4 linked regions of the Arabidopsis thaliana genome follow. The protein of the gene in region 3 interacts with the protein of the main gene of each other region in a pairwise test. Each region holds a gene or a part of one and is shown on either strand. Other genes may lie near its edges. The genes, in order: DER1, ALMT1, NPSN13 and UMAMIT41.

Region 1 (4,981 bases), on a different chromosome or scaffold from region 3:
TAGCTAAATATGTGGGTGGTTTTAAATTTGTGAGTATTAAATTTGTCATTTCTATCACAAAACAATGGGAGAAAAAAACGAAAAACTAGTTTCCCGACATTAAACATGCGAATTACTGAAACATGGATAGGTCCACCATTTTTGCCATTTGACAAGCTCGGTCTCTTGTTTTCCTTGTTCATAAATGATTTTAGTTTGTTTGCTTTTTTAAACGCATCTTTCTATCACTTTTTTCTTTTGGTTGCAAATATGTCGTTTTCTCTCCTCCCTCCTTTTCCGGGATTTAACTTATCACAATGTAATGAAATTTGCATGTTCCTCTCTCGCCATTGGCAAGTTCCATTGCGATGTCTCTATCGATAGGTCAAACAATCCAAAAGAACCAAAACCTTTTTTCTTTTCTTTTCCACTCACATTTAATCTAGGGACCCTTTAATCTTATTCATTTTCTCAACGATAATGTAAAAAAGTATAGTTAGTAAACTGTTAACTGTGTAGATTATACATGTTTTTTAATCAATCATATAATTAGAAGGGGTATTTAGCCGTCCAAAAGCTGTTTTCGCGTGACTATGCATGAAACCCACTTACGTAGCCTCCAACGTAACGACCAATAAAAAGCTCTAACTTAGGAACATTACAACGAACTAATATTTAATAAGTTATATAAGGTCATGAAATGAAATCTTATAACGTATCTAACAACTCACATGATCTATACCATGTCACATTTTTTATCAAACATATGTTAACCACCTAAGCACTAACACTACTCTTTGATCAAACTTATATTTCGCATATACTCCAAAAGAAACCAAGTGGCATATTGGCATATCTCGTAATGTGGTGCCAAAAATGCTTATCAACTTAATTATAGTTCAGATATTGTCTCCGTATCGTATCTTAATATTTGTATTCAACAATAGGTATTATGTTGTATTAGCTAGGTGTGATTTGTAACGAGAAGAGATATCTCGTTCTATTGTGAGGTAAAAATAAAATAAAGCAGTACAAGAACATAACGGTATAAACGGTTTTTACTGTTAAAAAACTTGTAATTGTTTATGTACCAACCCTATTGATTGTGTTTAAGAAATTATTTTTAAATCTTGAGATTCTTATTCAAATATAAACATTGAAGATCGATATTGCTCAATATCACAATAATCTTTCTAAGTTATGAAAAGAACGTCTACTACTATTTGTTTAAAACTACATAGGACAACATCAAATCAGTTTTGAAATTCATTGTAAAATTCTTTTAATACTAAAATTGTTTACAGTTAATGAGAAATTACAATATTATTTTTAGCAGATTATAATTAGAAAATACATTATTATTATTGATCAATTTACCTTGCAGTTCCACGCAAAACCAACAAAATAACAAATAACAAAGCATTGTGTGGAATGACGTAAGGATGAGTCAGCAGACAAGGAGTGAGATCGAATCGGGTCAAGATTATCTGGTTGGGACCCGTCACATGCACATGGACCCTCTCCCGTACCTAATCCAGGTTAAATAATCTTGATTTTCTGTTTAATTACCTTAAAAACACATTATTATTGAAACTAATAATAAATCTCGGATCTTTGGTTCCGACCATACTTGCGAAAGATCATTGCTTTAATGCTAATGTTTCTCTAATTTTGATATTCCTTGAGATTAGATTCCCTTTGCATTGTCTTTTCTTGTTAATTTGTTAGGGTTCATATTCTTACATTATTTTTTTTGGCAAAGAAAAAAACATTTATAAACATATCTAATTCGAGCCTGATCTATTAATGGGTCAAATAAAAGCCTCTTTGGCCCAATTCAATAAACTGGCCAACTGGGGATCATCATAGAGACAGACTACTAGAGAGTAGAGACGCATCAGAAAGAAGAGAAATTGATCCCACAAGTTTAAACACGATTACAAATTAAAACGTGCCACGTATTCAAGACGGTGAATTAACACGACGTGGCAAGGTATGATTGGATAACTTACGCAGCTGCCTAACAAAAACAAGTGATTTGAGTTTTCAGATGATTAGAAGGAAAAAAAATTCTGGAACTTTCGAGCTTCTGTTTTGCGGTGCTCTCAAAGCTTATATCGGATCTCGAATCTTGAATCGGACTCAGAACCTCGGATCTTCGAAAATCGACGAACATGTCTTCTCCTGGCGAGTGAGTTCCGTTCCCCTCTATTGAAACTTTGCTTCGATTCGATTTTGATCGAGAGATTCTTAGCTTGGTCTTCGTACCCAGGATTTTGAGTCCTTAGGTTAATAATTTTCATGATTCGTTTAGCTTGTATAGGGGTTTTTGAAGCATTCAACTGTTGATTCTTCTCAATTCGAGCGTAATTTTGCAACACCAAGCGAGTTCTGTGAACTTGAGCTAACGCTATTTTTAGTATATAGTTATCAATTTGCATTGTCATCATTTGATATTTTGGTGATTTGAGATGTAAAGAAACATCTTTTATGCCATGGAAGTTAGTACAAGTCAACTGGTAGTTAGTTCTTGAAATATGGAATCTCATAGTGTCTTGAAGCAAAACTGTTCTCGTTTGCTGTATCATAGTTACAAGGCTACTTTGATTCTCCTAGCTACGATAGTCTAAAATATCTCTGCGTAGGCTTGTCTCTTGTGGTAAAGTTTTATGCTTTAGCTGATCTTGATGACATTTCCTGATTAGAAATTTATAGATGGATGGAATATGTATGATTTTGATTGTTTATCTGTCAAATTGTTTCTTAGATCGCTTGTTATTGATTGCAGATTCTATAACTCACTTCCACCTATAACCAAGGCTTATGGTACGTTGTGCTTTTTCACTACAGTAGCCACGCAGCTTGGCTTAGTTGCTCCCGTTCACATTGCTTTAATTCCTGAACTTGTACTTAAGCAGTTCCAGGTATATGATTTATTCTTTTTTATGATTTTCCTTTCTTTCTCACAAATCTCTGTCATCCTAAGTTCCTAATTCATTCTGCAATTTTTGATCTATTTGGTGTTTGTAGATCTGGAGGCTGATAACAAACTTGTTTTTCCTCGGTGGTTTCTCTATCAATTTTGGAATACGTCTTTTGATGATGTGAGCATACTATTTTCACATATATAGATGAACAAAGCTAATTTCGATTTTTATTATCTTAACATACTCTTTTAAATGATTGTGCAGAGCAAGATATGGAGTTCAACTCGAGAAAGGGCCATTTGAAAGGCGGACAGCAGACTTTTTGTGGATGATGATCTTTGGATCCTTCACTCTATTGGTATGTAAAGCCTCCCCTGTATTCTATTCTTACTGATCATTGTTATTGGTTCTTTGAGAACCCCAGTACTAGTATGTGGTATGCCACAAAGTAGATAATCGCTGGTACATAATATCCCAAAGCTGAGAAGATCAGAAGCTCTCAAAGAATTGAATCAGGGTTGCATTTTATTAAAGCGAGACAAAATTTTGGAAGGTATTCATACTAGTAAATCCGTGTGTTAAAACAGTTACCTTGTTCAAATTTCAGGTATTATCAGTCATACCATTTTTCTGGACACCGTTTCTTGGTGTTTCACTTGTGTTCATGCTTCTTTATCTCTGGAGCCGAGAATTTCCAAATGCCAACATCAGCCTATACGGTCTTGTCACTCTTAAGGTATTGAAAGTGTTTCTTTTGTAATCAAATCCACTCCTTGGTATATATAATGTTAATGGTGAAAGTTGGAATTACTCCACAGGCTTTCTACCTCCCATGGGCAATGCTAGCACTTGATGTTATCTTCGGTTCTCCGATCATGCCAGATCTTCTTGGCATCATAGCTGGACATCTATACTACTTCCTAACAGTCCTTCATCCTCTTGCTACCGGAAAAAACTACCTGAAAACCCCAAAATGGGTGTATCCTTTATTCAAATTCTCGATTATTTCCAGATGATTGTTTCTCTCGCTTCTCAGTTTTTGTTTTGCTGTTGTACCTTGACATTCTCAACAGTAATAAAATCGTAGCAAGATGGCGAATTGGAGCTCCAGTTGCAAGTGTTCGACAAGCAGGTGGTGTAGGAGCAGCAGGACCCGGAGCTGGAGGAGGAGTAGGAGGAGGAGGAGCTTATTCAAGCGCTCGTGCCCCACCCGAGAGTTCAAACACAGCATTCAGAGGTCGATCATATCGTCTCACCGACTGAAATAGAAATCTTCTCGAGTTTCTTTGTTTTCATCATATCAAATCTTTTTCAAACAATGCCACTAACTAATCCCAGGTAGCTTTGTGTTTTCGAACAGTACAGTTTTTGAATATATGACTCTGTAGGAAGAATCTTTGAGGTTTTAATACAATGTTCTTTTCAAAATGTGGTTCATGTTTCTATGTTTTTGTTTTTGTCTAGCAATCATCTCCTTACTAAATTGAATTCGATAAACTATAGCCACTATGAATATAATCAAATGAAATTTGTGACATAAGAATTTGGACGTAACGAGTTTGAATATCTATCTAGATAAGTTATTAAATTCGTGACCAAAGAGTTTGGTCGTAACAAGTTTGAATTTTTTAGGACATAATATTATTATTGGCTAACAAGATTACGACTAACGAGTAAATAATCATTCCTTCGGTCCTTCCTCTAAAATGCCGTTGGTGATCGTTTATAAATAGGGGAAATAGGAAAAGGGAAGAAAGTAGACGTGGCAAATAGCGAAACAATGATTGAGCTATAACAAAGGCGAAACTTGAGCGGCACTAATTGAAAATCACTCCTTGTTTTTTTGAAGAAAAAGTAAGATGTAGGGCTGAGAATTCGTCTATGTGATCCAACGGTTTTAAAATGATCCTTGTTCCTTCCTCTCCTATTTATCTGAAGGACGAAGTCCCCACGCTGCACATAACCGGGGCACTTAACGTATAGATCATAAACAAAGAAGAAGAAAAAAAATAAGAAAAGAAGAAGAAGATGTCGTGGCAAACTTACGTTGATGAGCATTTGATGTGTGATGTTGG
Region 2 (4,939 bases), on a different chromosome or scaffold from region 3:
TTTTCGTTTGTGGTATAGTTTTTTGGCGAGTGGGTATGAATTCTTAGAATGGTAATGGTTGATTAGGTGGAGGATGGTCTGATGTCGTGGGGGGGGGGGGCTTTTGTGTATTTTAATTTTATTGTCAGTTCATACTTTGTAACATTTGTGTTGATTATATGATACGAAAAATTTTCCTGGCTCCTTTTGGTTGTCTAAGCTAGACCAAAAAAGAAGAGAAAAGAAAGAACTTATGCCCTTGAAAGCGACTTTGAGTTGGTTCATGGATCCTCGGGTGATGGACTCAGTCACTCGATTTGCTTGAGATTCATAAATTTATACATGTGCTTTGTGGCCTTCAAATGAAACACTGGTGATGTCGATATGATGTGATTTGGCATCGATGCTGTCATTGGCTCCAAAAAATCATGTTTTAGCGGTGAGAACAAAAAAAACAAAATTTTTGGAGGATCAGATGGTTGAAGTTAAAACTCGAGGGTATTAGATGGTTAAATTTTAATATTGTTTTGGATATAGGATGGTGATTAAAAAAAAAAAGTTTTGATTAGTGTTGGTGCAGGAATTAGCATCTCCGATAATACCAATTTAAACCAAGGAATAACGTGAATAAAATCGAGAATTCGATTGAACCGGGGTATCCCGGCTAGTCTGTTAATGGGCCTAAGTCATGAGCTCGCCAGAAGATTTAGGTCGACAGTCAAGATCGCCATAGGCGGCTTCTCAGGTCGTGTAAAGGGAAAACTTCCATTTAAGAGAAGAGGATCTCATGAAGAATAGAAGTAATGAAGATTTAGACCTAAGATAATTAGAAGTTTATCATATTTTGGTATGTTGGACCCATTGTATAAATAGGGGGGGGGGGTCAAGCCCTCTAAGAGGATCATGACCAACCTAAGACAAGAGACTACTATTACAGAGCAAACTCTAGCTTTTTATTCAAGCAACTTTGTTCTTCTCCTTTGATTATTCGTGAGCTAAGAGAGAAGTGAATTTGTCTAAATCCCTTAGTACAAATTAATTGTTTGATTAGAGAATCAACAATTAGTTTTGAACCTGATGATGTATTGGTCAAACTTGTAATCATCGCATCTGAGTTTGAGGTCATTTTTTCCAACTGTTGTTATACATATAAAATATCCAAAGAATAAAAGCCTTGTACGATCGGGGTATTGGGGTCCGTACCAACTTGTTGACATTTTTTATGTTTTTGGTGTGTGGCAGACTAGATTGAAACAATAATGACTAAGCAACTCAGTAAGAGTCCTTTTTTTGGACTCAGTAAAAGAGTCCAAGTTTTCTTTGAACAACAAAATTTTGTTGAGGTGTGTATGCACTTGGTTGGGAACAAACAAGTAGATGGCAAAGATCATTCGAACATTGGAGCCCAAGTGTTGAGGGCACTAATCTTGTCGATTACAGAAACGAAATTATTTGGGGAAGCTGCAAGAAAAAGTTTAGTTAAATCTTTTATATTCCTTAATCAAAATGTATCATGCATACACTATATACAATTCACTAAAGTATGATAGTTAAATACCTAATTAATATCATGATCAACTCCTACCGGTTCATCTAACTAATCCAGCTCAGCATAAAAACCCTCACGCGTCGCTCCAATTAAGGGGAGGGCTTAACTAGTGCCCAACTTACTGGGCTAGGTTCGACTCCGTTTTTTTATTACATTTTCCTTTTCCATTTCTTTAAGACTTTAACCCTGAAATCTCGAAGTGCAACGCACCACTAATTTTTTATAAATATTAACATAACATTTCATGAGTCCTAAACAAGAGTCTCTCTTGGTCTTTATAAATACATCGATCCATGTACATAAAAACAACAAGTCATCTTTTCTTTCTATCTGAAAGTAATCAGAGAATCAGAAAACACTTGAGAGAGCTGAGTGACCATCAAAAGGTGTTATGGAGAAAGTGAGAGAGATAGTGAGAGAAGGGATTAGAGTAGGGAATGAAGACCCGAGAAGAATTATTCATGCTTTCAAAGTGGGACTTGCTCTTGTTTTGGTCTCTTCCTTCTATTATTACCAACCTTTCGGTCCTTTCACCGATTACTTCGGTATCAATGCAATGTGGGCTGTCATGACCGTCGTTGTTGTCTTTGAATTCTCCGTAGGTTCGTCATCTAGTTTCTATCATTTGAATATGTCTAGTAGATATATCTAGGGAGAATGCAAGAATTTTTGTTGTAAACTTTTGGCCATAATATTAAATAACTTTGGTTTGATGTGTACTTAGGGGCTACACTTGGGAAAGGACTAAATAGAGGAGTGGCAACATTAGTAGCAGGAGGACTAGGAATTGGAGCTCATCAACTAGCAAGATTGTCGGGTGCAACAGTGGAACCTATTCTTTTGGTCATGTTGGTCTTTGTGCAAGGTAAACCCTTATAACACTCTTTACATTTTCAGATTACCATGCGTTTCCAAGCGTTTGGTCAATCATTGTTTGGCTAAAGACTAGATCAAAGAAGATTGGGCAATGAGTAATTAGTATTGTGATATATGTGCAGCTGCGTTGTCGACGTTCGTAAGGTTTTTCCCATGGGTAAAGACAAAGTTCGATTATGGGATATTGATATTCATATTGACGTTCGCGCTGATATCGTTGTCGGGGTTTAGAGACGAAGAGATAATGGATTTGGCAGAAAGCAGACTATCGACAGTGGTGATTGGAGGAGTCAGTTGCATCCTTATCTCTATCTTTGTCTGTCCTGTTTGGGCTGGACAAGATCTACATTCTCTCCTTGCCTCTAACTTTGACACTCTCTCCCACTTCCTTCAAGGTTTTTTATTTCTTTCTCTTTTTCTTTTCCTCATTATGTCTCTACAAGAACATAAATATATACATATACGAGATAGTGAATGTGAAATTGGCAGATTTTGGGGACGAATATTTTGAAGCGAGAGAGAAGGGGGACTACAAAGTAGTGGAGAAGAGGAAAAAGAATCTTGAGAGATATAAAAGTGTTCTTGACTCCAAAAGCGATGAAGAAGCTTTGGTGGGCTACTCTCTCTCTTTCTTTCCCTACTTGCTTCACAATTATGAAATCATTTGGATTGATTTTGTTTTGATATTTTGCGTTTAGGCTAATTACGCAGAATGGGAACCGCCTCATGGACAATTTAGGTTTAGGCATCCATGGAAACAATATGTTGCCGTTGGTGCATTACTCCGGCAGTGTGCCTACAGGATTGATGCCTTGAATTCATACATCAACTCAGATTTTCAGGTAATCGCTAACTTTTTGTTAGGTGTTTGCATATTTAATTAAAACAAAATTTGAAAATACATAAAAGAAGAAAAACTAATATGCTATTATGCTATAACTATTTTTGATCTAATACAATATATATATCTATATATATATATATATATATATTTACATGTCGCAAATGCAAACACAAAAATAACATCAGGTTGAAATTCTTAGTCTGTTAATTTGTTTATATAGTTTTTTTTTTTAGTGTAAACATGTATAGTAGTATATGTTTCTGGTTAACGTGTTTCTAACCCTTTGTTTATTTCTTATTTTTTCTATTAGATCCCAGTGGACATAAAAAAGAAATTAGAAACACCATTAAGAAGAATGAGCTCGGAATCGGGAAACTCAATGAAAGAAATGTCCATTTCACTAAAACAAATGATAAAATCATCTTCTTCTGATATCCATGTCTCAAACTCACAAGCTGCATGCAAATCTCTTTCTACTTTACTTAAATCAGGCATCTTGAACGATGTTGAGCCTCTTCAAATGATCTCATTGATGACGACTGTCTCCATGCTCATAGATATTGTTAACTTAACCGAAAAGATCTCGGAATCTGTACACGAGCTTGCATCCGCTGCAAGATTTAAGAACAAGATGAGGCCGACCGTGCTATACGAGAAGTCGGATTCCGGAAGCATTGGTCGTGCCATGCCAATAGATTCTCATGAAGATCATCATGTTGTCACAGTTTTACATGACGTTGATAATGATAGATCAAACAATGTTGATGATTCACGTGGAGGGAGTTCACAGGACTCATGTCATCATGTTGCCATAAAGATTGTTGATGATAACTCAAACCATGAAAAACATGAAGATGGTGAAATACATGTACATACATTAAGTAATGGGCATCTTCAGTAAGTAATTCAACTCATTATTTGAGGAGCAGTCTTTTGTACCCGCAAGATTATAGAGACGAGACCATCGGTATATAACATATTCGGGTATTTCATTCAGATTTGAAGTTTGTTACAAATACTATTGTCGCCTTTGATCATTTTTGAACTATTGGTCACACATTTAATAAAGTCTTGGTCTTCGTTTTCCTTTGCGTTACTCTTTTAAAGATTTTTATATCCAACTGATCAAAAAATTTAAAAATAGCATGGTTTTATTTTTGGATTATGGTGTTTTAGAGAGCTAACCTCAGTAAATAAAAGAACATAGACCGGCGCCAGATAAAGACAAGTCCGGCAAAAACTCTAGATTGTTATTTTCTATGAATATAATTAATTTTATTCCAAACATATATCGTATGAAAAAAAAAATCATTTATCATTGGAGGAGGCGGTGATCAGGCGCAGTGAGAGGAGGAGTCGGTTAACAAAAGTGGTCTTGGCCAGTGCCAAAGCGTCATTGTAATCGCTTTCAATTCTCAAAACCAATACGGTAATATGCACAACTAATAGAATGTTTCAGGTGACAAATTTTCTCACTAAAGTCAAACTTTCATACTTGCCGATGAAGTAACAAACATACAGTACGTTCAATACATTAAGGATATATATAAGAAACAAAAGCTGGAAATTGTGTGAATTTAGCTAGGTTAGATTATAGTATAATAAAGTTGCCTTGTACGATTGGGGTAATGGCTAATGGATTCCGTACGTTGATGCCAACTTGGTATTGGCAAGGCTGAGTGTGACTCGGT
Region 3 (5,217 bases):
AGACTTCTCAAAGCTAGAATTTGTCTCCGAGTGCTTAGAGAAAGCCCAAAGAATCACAAGATTCATTTACAATCAAACATGGCTGCTTAATCTTATGAAGAACGAATTCACACAGGGACTAGATCTTCTTAGACCAGCAGTCATGCGCCACGCTTCCGGGTTCACCACTCTTCAAAGTCTTATGGACCACAAGGCCAGTCTCAGAGGTCTGTTTCAATCTGACGGCTGGATTTTGTCACAGACCGCCGCCAAGTCTGAAGAGGGAAGAGAAGTGGAGAAGATGGTGTTGAGTGCTGTGTTTTGGAAGAAGGTTCAGTATGTTTTGAAATCGGTTGATCCGGTGATGCAGGTGATTCACATGATCAATGATGGTGGCGATAGACTATCTATGCCATATGCTTACGGTTACATGTGCTGTGCGAAAATGGCGATCAAGTCTATTCATAGCGATGATGCAAGGAAATACGGACCGTTTTGGCGGGTGATAGAATACCGTTGGAACCCATTGTTTCATCATCCTCTCTATGTGGCTGCATATTTCTTCAACCCGGCATACAAATATCGTCCTGATTTTATGGCGGTAGGTATGATTATCATTCATTTGAATCAATGACTAAAAGCTTTCTGCCATTTTCCTTACATTTGCTGTAAATGTGAATGAATCTGCAGCAGTCTGAGGTTGTGCGTGGAGTTAACGAATGCATTGTTAGGCTTGAGCCTGATAACACGCGTAGAATCACAGCATTGATGCAGGTGAGACAAAAAACAAATCACCAAGTCACACACATTGTTCTCAGAACCTGAGGTTAAACCAACTTTTTGTTGAAATGTTTTCAGATTCCGGATTATACTTGTGCGAAAGCTGATTTTGGAACGGATATAGCCATTGGCACAAGAACAGAGCTTGATCCATCGGCGTGGTGGCAACAGCATGGGATAAGCTGTTTGGAACTCCAGCGAGTGGCGGTTCGGATACTGAGCCACACTTGCTCGTCTGTTGGGTGTGAGCCTAAGTGGAGCGTGTACGACCAAGTTAACAGTCAATGCCAGAGCCAATTTGGGAAAAAATCAACGAAAGATCTAACATACGTTCATTACAACTTACGGCTCAGAGAAAAACAGCTGAAGCAACGGCTACATTATGAGGATGAACCACCACCAACTCTTAACCACGCTTTGCTGGATCGGTTGCTCCCTGACTGGCTCGTAACATCCGAGAAGGAGGAGGTACTTAACTTACTTAAAGTGAGAAACGCTAAACGCCATTCCAGTGATTTTATAAAAGGCTAATAAATGTAGTTTATTGGTGAAGGAGGAGGCTTTGCACGGGGAAGACAGAGCAGAGAAGGAAGACCATGAAGACGATGAGGAAGAGGAGGAGAAGTTTTACATGGAATCTGGTAACGTTGACGGTGAAGGTGAAGACAACCTTGATCCTTACGATGATGATCTTAGTGACGATGATTAGTTAGTGCTACAATTCTAACGAAGTAACACTGTATTTTGAATTCTAGCATTGTATCCTTAAAATATTCGAAAAATATGAAAATTTTGTTGGCTAGAAGAATATAATCAAAGTATTATTAGGTGAAATTAGTGAAAGTGAAATAATTTATCTAACAACGGATATGGATGGGACCAAAAAGTTGGCGCCTCGCTGTCATTTTTTTAACTACCGAATATCTGTCTTTTTAATTTATTTATTAATCAATTTTGTTTTTAAAAAATATATATGTTTGAATAAAAAAGAAAAAAACAACACACACCTGACAGCTCTCTTTCCCTTTTCCCGTTCTTTGTCGTCCTTTGTTTCGTCTTTCATTCATTCTCCTTTGTGTTTTCTCTTTTTGGAGATTTTAACTTCAGTTTTTGTCTAATTAGGGTTTTAATTTAAATTGGAGGGAAATTTTAGATGCAGTGACGTAGTTTTTGGGTAAATTTTCGTCGGATTCTGAATTGTCTCCGGCGACATGGCTTCTAATCTCCCCATGAGCCCTCAATTGGAGCAGATCCATGGCGAAATCCGTGACCATTTCCGAGCCCTCGCGTATGTTTTACATGTTATCCTCTTGTTCAATTTTCTAACTATCTCTGTCGTGGTTACGAAACACTGTGATATATATTTTAGGGTTTTGGAATTTTTTGATTATGTGTGCTCAATAGGATTTATGCGTGTTTTGCTTAATGCTGATGATAAGAATTAGATTTAGTCATCACTCAAAAGATTGTTCTTTTAATGATTCACCATTATCTGTTTTGCAGGAATGGTTTCCAGAGGTTGGATAAGATTAAGGATTCAACTAGACAAAGCAAACAACTTGAAGAACTTACTGACAAGATGAGAGAGTGTAAAAGGTATACTTATTTCATAATTGCTATGCTTTACCATTATGTTCTCGGCGTTACAACATTGTTTGCTAATTGCCTTTAGTAGAATGTGCTCTTTGATCACTGTTATGCGTACTTCTTTTTCTTTGAGCTGGATACGATGCCGTATAATGAGAATTGAGAAGGAAAGAGTATTGATGTGACAAATCCATGATTCAATAATCTGTATTTGCTTGTCTAATGTGTACTTCATGTCAGATTGGTCAAAGAGTTCGACCGTGAACTCAAGGATGAGGAAGCTAGAAATTCTCCTGAAGTAAATAAGCAATTGAACGATGAGAAACAATCTATGGTGAGTTTTTATCCTTTGTTTATTAAATTCATTGAGGCCTTTCTTTGATTATACTACAATGTCATATGTATCTGAAGTAAATATGTGAATATTAACTCTTACTTGGCACCTTCGTAAAGTTCCATTATACAGCATCAGTCGTATTCAGTTTGGTCAATCTTTAGGTGTGTTTATAACCGAATGGATATATTAAGGTGGATATTGAGTGTCATTGTGTATCTATCACTCCCCTCTGTACTTTGTATCTGCTAACATTTTGTTTGTATGAACTTTTTAACATCTGTGTTTAACTTTTTCTTTTGTATAATGTTACAGATCAAGGAGCTCAATTCTTACGTTGCTCTAAGAAAAACGTTAGTATTTCTATCATTCCTCTTTAAGAAAGCTGATTATTTGAATCTCAACCTGTTCTTTTAGGGTTTTGATTTCATATCGATCCGTTCAGAATATCTATATAGGATTTCATTTGACTTTTATGTGTTCATACATGTGAAATTGGTCTTGAATCTCAGGTATATGAGTACCCTTGGCAACAAGAAAGTTGAGCTTTTTGATATGGGAGCTGGAGTTAGTGGCGAACCTACAGCTGAGGAAAATGTTCAAGTGGCTTCATGTGAGTCCTTATGCATTCTTGTCTTCAGTTGCCACCAAAATATGAGTTTGCTTAGAACAATTAGAGATTGACATGCTTGAAGTTTAGACTTTTTAATGCTATATGTACTTGAATATGTTGGATTGGTAACTAATGCTCTCTGGTTATTCGTCTGGCATAATTTGTGATGTCTGTCAGTAAATTTCTGGCAGATGGTAATATGGCACTAGAAATGTTATCGGTGGCCTAGATAATAGAAATGAATGATTCTGATAATTTGATTAGGCGCGAAGTATATTATATTGGGAATGTAAAAACTGATGAAGGCTTTTGTCATTTTATTATGTATAGCTATGTCAAACCAGGAGCTTGTTGATGCTGGAATGAAAAGAATGGATGAGACTGATCAGGCCATTGAGCGCTCAAAACAGGTAAGTTACAGAAGGAATTATGTTCCCCTTAGCCTTTGTTACTATATGAATATATCTATGGTAACATTCTTGTTCCTTTCAGGTTGTAGAACAAACACTCGAAGTTGGAACTCAAACTGCAGCTAATTTAAAGGGACAGGTAATGCAAATTATTCTCCTTTACTTCCATATTAATCTTATGAGTAGAGTCTTAAACAACCTGAAAATTTTGCAGACGGATCAAATGGGACGCGTAGTTAACCACTTGGACACTATTCAATTCTCAATCAAGAAGGCCTCCCAGCTGGTGAAAGAGATAGGGAGACAGGTGTGTAACCTCATATGGACATATGTAGATTTATCCTTTTTGGCTTGACCTCAAAACCTGAATGCTTATGTCTACTTATTTCAGGTGGCTACCGATAAATGCATAATGGGGTTCCTGTTTCTCATTGTATGCGGTGTAGTAGCCATAATCATAGTGAAGGTACTGTCTTTTCTCTCTCTGTTGAAAGTTGTGATTGCTCATTAGCAAGTTGTAACTCTGGTTTTTGTATTAATTCTTCAGATCGTGAATCCGAATAACAAAGACATTAGGGACATCCCAGGATTAGCTCCTCCAGCGCAATCGAGGAAGCTATTGTACTTGAGGAATCAAGACTACATGTGAGAATATAAATCTCTATTTGTATATTTATTCACGAGGAATGAGGAAATTGCATCTTGAGGTTCGATATTTCCTTCTAATTTGTTAACAATCCATTTCATGGATGTTAGAGAGAGGGTTTGTGCTTGTTGGCATTGTGTGCTTTGATAGTTGACGAGGCTTGGGGATGTTTATCTTCATGTTCTTTTACTTGTTTTAACCCATTCGTTTGAATCTGGGTTTGATTGGAGGGTGTGTATATTTTCAGCTTTTGTCTCTATTTCTTTTTCCTTCTTCTTTTTTGTAGCAACTTATCACTTCTTTTGTATAAAATTCAGACCAATGTTATACTCTCTCACGTTTTCATTAGATTCCTTTCTTCGTCCTACTGTAGAAAGTTTCATGACACAGCTGGAATTTCATTAGAAGAGTCCAAATGGTTATCACTTTCTGTAACTTGCTAATACGAAGAACGTGATGAAGAGTACTACTACATTTCTGACGTTAAGTATTTATGAAACTACTGACTGTATTCTCCTTTAATTCGTTTTGTTTCACCTTTCTATTACTGGAGAATCAATTACTACTCTTCCAATCAGAATTTACCTTGAAGACATTAATATTTTGTACCAATCAATCGAGTTCAAATATAAGAGATGCTGCTCAGAAGCCGGAACATAATTGAATCCAGGGTCGGCTGATGATGGAAAAAATTAAGACCACAAATATATAAATTTAACGTCAATTCACTACAAACGAATTTGAGACTTTTTAGTTTTCCAGCTAATCATTGGTAATAATCTCCGCTATTCTATCTCATAACAAATTTGGAATTTTTCACCTGACACACGAGGACACGGGTCTAGATGGTGCTGCAACTTCTTTGTTT
Region 4 (5,100 bases), 4.5 Mb from region 3:
ATAGTACAATGTATACGTAAATAGTATATTCACAAAATAGAATAGTATCTCTCAAAAATCTTCCAAAATCAAAATCGATTTATTGGCTATTTCCCTTTAGAATTTCCAACATCGTAAACCCTTTATCGCTTCTAGATCTAAGAAATCCATAACATGATCGTCAATTTGTTGTTCATAATTCTCAATTTTATTTTCCATGGATTTACAAATTAAAATTCTCATATGAACTTTGATGGGAAAGTGAAGATTAATTTGACATAATTGGCGAAAGGATTTCACCGGATTTTTCTAGTATTCTCTGGCTGACGAAGAATAAATATAGTCAGAGTATTATTGCGCTAATGGTGTTGTTATAAAATAGAGTAAATCAGATTTGAGTGATCCTATCGACATTTAAGATTGATCCATATATAATTTTGACTTTTGTTTAGTTGATGGTGATGTATGTAAAGATTCGTAAGAAAAGGGCGAGATAGATGAAAGGAGCACACTTCATAAAAGAGAAGAAGATTTATTCACAAGGATGTCTTTTGAAGAAGAAAGAAGAAGGAGAGCGAGATGTACAAACACAGTAAGAAAAGGGAGAGAGAGATGAAAGGAGCACACTTCATAAAAGAGAAGAAGATTTATTCAATAGGATGTCTTTTGAAAAAGAAAGAAGAAGGAGAGCGTGATGTACAAACACATGATAGTATTGTCAATATTATATATATTATACATAATATTTTTTTCTATTGTTTGAAGTGTTAGTTTACCAATTAAAGTATTTTTGTTGGTTATATTTGCCAATTCCCCAAGTATTTATACCATTTTCGAAGTTTCGACATAAGTTAAAAAGGATATAAGAACCGGAAAAATAACGAAAATCTACAGAAAGAACAGACAATGACAAAACAACAAAGGAGGAAAACATATGTATAGAGCGAAAACAAAAGAAGAAACACCGATTCCAAAATGCCAAACTCGGAAATTTGCGTGATTTCCTCCACAACTCCAAGAAGCTGGAGTCTCATCCTAAGTTGTATACCTAATTTGTTTACAGAAGTTATCTATGGTGCTAAAAAAAATGGTTTTAACACTTGAAAAAAAAGCTTTTACTAAAGTTATATATATATGGTTTAGTGGTTTTCTTTAGTGTATGAGTCGATATGAGAGGACAGTAAAAGATAAATCATTTTTTATATAAAAAAGCTGTTGAATATTATTTGTTATTTGTGATAAACAATTTGAATAGTAAAACATGTTACATAATTTCTTTAGCTAGTGCTTATAGAAAATTGATTTTAAAACAAAATAAAGATAAAAGTTAGTTTCTATTCAAAAAATTGAAAATGATTGCCACATCATTTAAAACTAAAAGTTAAAAATTAAAGGTAAAATTGGTTTTTTTTTTTTGAAATCGCTTTAATTGTAAGGGTAAAAGTGGATATTTGTTTTTACTGAAATCATGAGTATGAAAATAACAGCAATTTTTTTTGGATAATAAACGCACATTTTAATTATTATGTGTATTTTTTCCAACCAAAAATAATTGAGTATTCAACGTCTAGATAAAAAAGAGACTGAGATTTTTTTCGACTTTTTCTCCAAAAAAAACGAAGTTCCAAAAATAATGATGAAATTAGTAGTGGTAAATGGTCAATTTAAATCCGTTGCTACAAATCAAAATTTAAATCTGTAAATTAACTAAATCTATTAAATTATTAATGAAAACCAATGTAAAAAGAATCTCAACTTCTCAAGCATACTTTGTTTCAAATATTCTACTATTCAAAATACTCCCTTAAATCATAACCTGAAACTCACATAAGCTGATCCAAAATTGAATTTCATTCCACAATTTTTCTCTTAAACTTCATATAAACATGTCAGCATGTTACACGGCCTTTTTTGTCTGCTTCATATATCTCTCAAGTGTGTGTACTACACAATAACATTTCCTGAAAATCTAACTTTCACCCACTCACCATCTTTTCTTCTCTCTTTCCCCATCAAAAAAAACAAAAACAAAACACAACTCTGTTTCTCTCATCTTAAAATTCATGTAAAAAAAATCTACAAATCAAAGAGAGAAACAGAGTAAAGAGAAAGAGAAGAAGATGGCGCGGAAATACTTTCAGAGAGAAGTTTTGCCGGTAACGGCTTTGGTAATAATGGAATGTGCAAACGTTGGTTTAAACACTCTGTTTAAAGCAGCAACTTTGAAAGGCATGAGCTTTCATGTCTTCATCGTTTACTCTTATGGTCTCGCTGCTCTGCTTCTTCTTCCTTCTCTGTTTTGCTCTTTCAGGTCTCTCTCTCTTCTTGATTCGATCTCGATACTAAATTTTTCATCTAATCTTGAAAATTGGCTAATCGGTTCTTGTTTAATTTCACAGATCAAGAACTCTTCCACCGATGAATTTCTCTATTCTCTACAAAATCGTGCTCTTAGGGATTATTGGGTAAAAGTCTCATCTCTTGAAATTTTCTACCAAATAAAAAATTCTCAGTTCTTGAAATTTTTCTTTAATTTCAAGCAATACCTGAGTGTTGCTGAAATAGGTTAATTTGATCTTTAATTACCTGATTAGATCAAATTTTTTGCATGAGTGTTACTGAAATTCTCAGTTTTTGTTTACCAAAATTTAGAGAATAAAAAGTATAGAAAGAGACATTTGGCTTAAAGTTGGTTCCAAAAGCTGCAACTTTACTGCAAAAATCTAAAAACATTATTATTATTATAAACAAAAATAAATTCAATTTTTGGGGGTTTATTTATATGATTTAATCTTAGTAAAAAAATGGAATATATTATTTGGTTTTGGTTATAAAATTTTTGATTAATAAAAGTGTGTGTTGACAATGTATATAGATGCTGTTCATGATTTATTCTTAGTAAAAAGTGGAATATATTATTTTGTTTTGGTTATAATTATTTGATTAATAAAAATGTGTGTTGATAATGTATATAGATGCTGTTCAAACATAATGGGATACACAGGGATAAATTATAGTTCTCCAACACTTGCTTCTGCAATCAGCAACCTCACTCCTGCTTTCACCTTCTTGCTTGCAGTCGTTTTCAGGTTTGACAACAACATTTCTATATCCTATTTGACATATTCCTTTTACATTATCAATTTACAAAATTACCCTCCGTCCATTAACTGTATATGGGCCTTATTGTTTAGCCCATGAGGTTATGATTTGAAAACGTTTGGTGTAATGTTGTAGGATGGAGAGTGTGTCTTTTAAGAGAACAAGTAGTGTGGCTAAAATGTTAGGAACCGTTGTTTCTATTGGAGGTGCATTTATAGTGACTCTTTATAATGGTCCTGTTGTGATTGCTAAATCGCCACCGTCTGTTTCTTTGCGATCGCAATCGACTAACCCTAATTGGATACTTGGTGCGGGTTTCCTTGCGGTCGAGTATTTCTGTGTTCCATTGTGGTACATTGTTCAGGTCTGAACTCTATATGCATATATAACATATATGTCACTATGTGAGTTTTTTGGTTTTCTGATAGAATCATATGTTCTCAATATTTTTTGTAGACTCAAATCATGAGAGAGTATCCGGCCGAGTTTACCGTTGTTTGCTTTTATAGCATAGGCGTTAGCTTTTGGACCGCGCTAGTCACATTGTTCACTGAAGGGAATGACTTGGGTGCATGGAAGATAAAACCGAATATAGCTTTAGTGTCGATCGTTTGCTCGGTGAGAATATAATTACACTCATGTGTTTTTCCCTAGAGATTATGAGTGTGATTAGTTTTTTGACAAGCAAAATGGTTTTATTTTGGTTGATTCTATTTCTATGTTTAGGGATTGTTTGGATCTTGCATAAACAATACTATCCACACGTGGGCATTGCGGATCAAGGGGCCTTTATTTGTTGCAATGTTCAAGCCATTGTCTATTGCAATTGCTGTTGCAATGGGAGTTATCTTCCTGCGAGATTCTCTCTACATCGGCAGGTACAAAAACAACTCACACTTTTATTTAAATAGTAACGGGTGAGTCCAAGATTAGTTTGGGACTTGCGGTTATGTTAGAACCATACCTCAAAAAACTGTGGAAAATATTAACTAGTCATTCTCTAATTCTCAGCTCACTTTAACTCTTTTGGTTTCCTTTCTTTGCTTGAATGATGATCCCAGCTTGATCGGGGCAACGGTAATAACAATCGGGTTTTACACGGTAATGTGGGGAAAAGCCAAGGAAGTGGCCTTGGTCGAAGATGATAACAAGGCTAACCACGAGGAGGCCAATGAAGCTGACCTTGATTCTCCATCGGGTTCACAGAAGGCTCCTCTCTTGGAAAGTTACAAGAACGATGAACATGTATGAGTATCATCAACTAGTGAAGATCACGCTATATATATATGTGTGAAAAAATTCATATGTGAATTGTCTTTGTAATTTATTTGATGAGACAAATGTGATCTTTAATTTTAGGATCCAAGTGTTTTCTAATCACAATCTAACAAGTCCTTTTTATATCCTTTTTTTCTTAGTCTTTCACATGATTTACACTAGAATGATTCCAATATCCTTAAGAATAAGACTAATTCTTCACTTAAGATTTAAGAACATCTTTTAGTGATAACTGATAACTACAGGTTTTGGCGACCAATTTTCATTTGTTTTATAGTCCTTGATAGTGGTGACGATATGTCCTGGATTTAAGACTTACTATGAACTGGAAAATTAATTGCTCATCAAGAAAAGATATTTAACCTAAAAATCTCAAAAATTATCCTAAAAATCTTTGTCCTCATAACTATAATTAAGTTACTAATTAACTAATGGTTAGACATTTTTTTTTTTTAACTATATAGTAATAGTGTAATAATAATTGTTGAAAGTGGTTTTTACTTTTACTGCGGTGGGATGCAAAAGTAAGTTGAAGTTGAGATTCTAAAGCTCCTAAATTGGTCAAACCGTCAAACCAGAGTTTCAGATTCAGACAATCAAAAACAAAACAAAAAAAATGGCTGGGAGATTCTGTCAAAGAGACGGCGGGATCATGACGGCAATGGTGGCGGTGGAGATTCTGACAGAGTGTAGCCAAAGTAGTTGGAACAATAGTTTGCATTGTGGGTGCACTTGTGGCAA

What was found.
Region 1: the proteins of NPSN13 (region 3) and DER1 interact in a protein complementation assay, tested with the Arabidopsis thaliana proteins (one large-scale study listed by BioGRID).
Region 2: the proteins of NPSN13 (region 3) and ALMT1 interact in a protein complementation assay, tested with the Arabidopsis thaliana proteins (one large-scale study listed by BioGRID).
Region 4: the proteins of NPSN13 (region 3) and UMAMIT41 interact in a protein complementation assay, tested with the Arabidopsis thaliana proteins (one large-scale study listed by BioGRID).

Annotation. Positions count from the first base shown.
Region 1 is NC_003075.7:14,442,784-14,447,764, forward strand, and holds DER1 (DERLIN-1), read left to right. Parts: upstream 1-1,769; 5' UTR 1,770-2,153; coding exon 2,154-2,170; intron 2,171-2,767; coding exon 2,768-2,903; intron 2,904-3,009; coding exon 3,010-3,083; intron 3,084-3,170; coding exon 3,171-3,264; intron 3,265-3,513; coding exon 3,514-3,642; intron 3,643-3,724; coding exon 3,725-3,885; coding exon of another isoform or gene 3,886-3,922; exon of another isoform or gene 3,923-3,979; coding exon 3,980-4,169; 3' UTR 4,170-4,454; downstream 4,455-4,981. Other genes in the region: PRF4 (profilin 4), read left to right, coding at 4,935-4,981. UniProt on the Arabidopsis thaliana protein: May be involved in the degradation process of specific misfolded endoplasmic reticulum (ER) luminal proteins.
Region 2 is NC_003070.9:2,656,881-2,661,819, forward strand, and holds ALMT1 (aluminum-activated malate transporter 1), read left to right. Parts: upstream 1-1,721; 5' UTR 1,722-1,919; coding exon 1,920-2,130; intron 2,131-2,252; coding exon 2,253-2,393; intron 2,394-2,526; coding exon 2,527-2,799; intron 2,800-2,893; coding exon 2,894-3,015; intron 3,016-3,102; coding exon 3,103-3,246; intron 3,247-3,558; coding exon 3,559-4,149; 3' UTR 4,150-4,430; downstream 4,431-4,939. UniProt on the Arabidopsis thaliana protein: Malate transporter critical for aluminum tolerance. The STOP1 transcription factor is required for ALMT1 expression.
Region 3 is NC_003074.8:5,969,044-5,974,260, reverse strand, and holds NPSN13 (Putative plant snare 13), read left to right. Parts: upstream 1-1,688; 5' UTR 1,689-1,970; coding exon 1,971-2,047; intron 2,048-2,262; coding exon 2,263-2,355; intron 2,356-2,586; coding exon 2,587-2,680; intron 2,681-2,995; coding exon 2,996-3,033; intron 3,034-3,192; coding exon 3,193-3,293; intron 3,294-3,623; coding exon 3,624-3,703; intron 3,704-3,785; coding exon 3,786-3,842; intron 3,843-3,917; coding exon 3,918-4,010; coding exon of another isoform or gene 4,011-4,014; intron 4,015-4,094; coding exon 4,095-4,169; intron 4,170-4,250; coding exon 4,251-4,352; 3' UTR 4,353-4,696; downstream 4,697-5,217. Other genes in the region: AT3G17450 (hAT dimerization domain-containing protein), read left to right, coding at 1-580, 670-753, 838-1,227, 1,313-1,468. UniProt on the Arabidopsis thaliana protein: Vesicle trafficking protein that functions in the secretory pathway.
Region 4 is NC_003074.8:10,440,885-10,445,984, forward strand, and holds UMAMIT41 (nodulin MtN21 /EamA-like transporter family protein), read left to right. Parts: upstream 1-1,723; 5' UTR 1,724-2,099; coding exon 2,100-2,290; intron 2,291-2,378; coding exon 2,379-2,444; intron 2,445-2,954; coding exon 2,955-3,068; intron 3,069-3,216; coding exon 3,217-3,445; intron 3,446-3,537; coding exon 3,538-3,699; intron 3,700-3,807; coding exon 3,808-3,959; intron 3,960-4,142; coding exon 4,143-4,332; 3' UTR 4,333-4,547; downstream 4,548-5,100.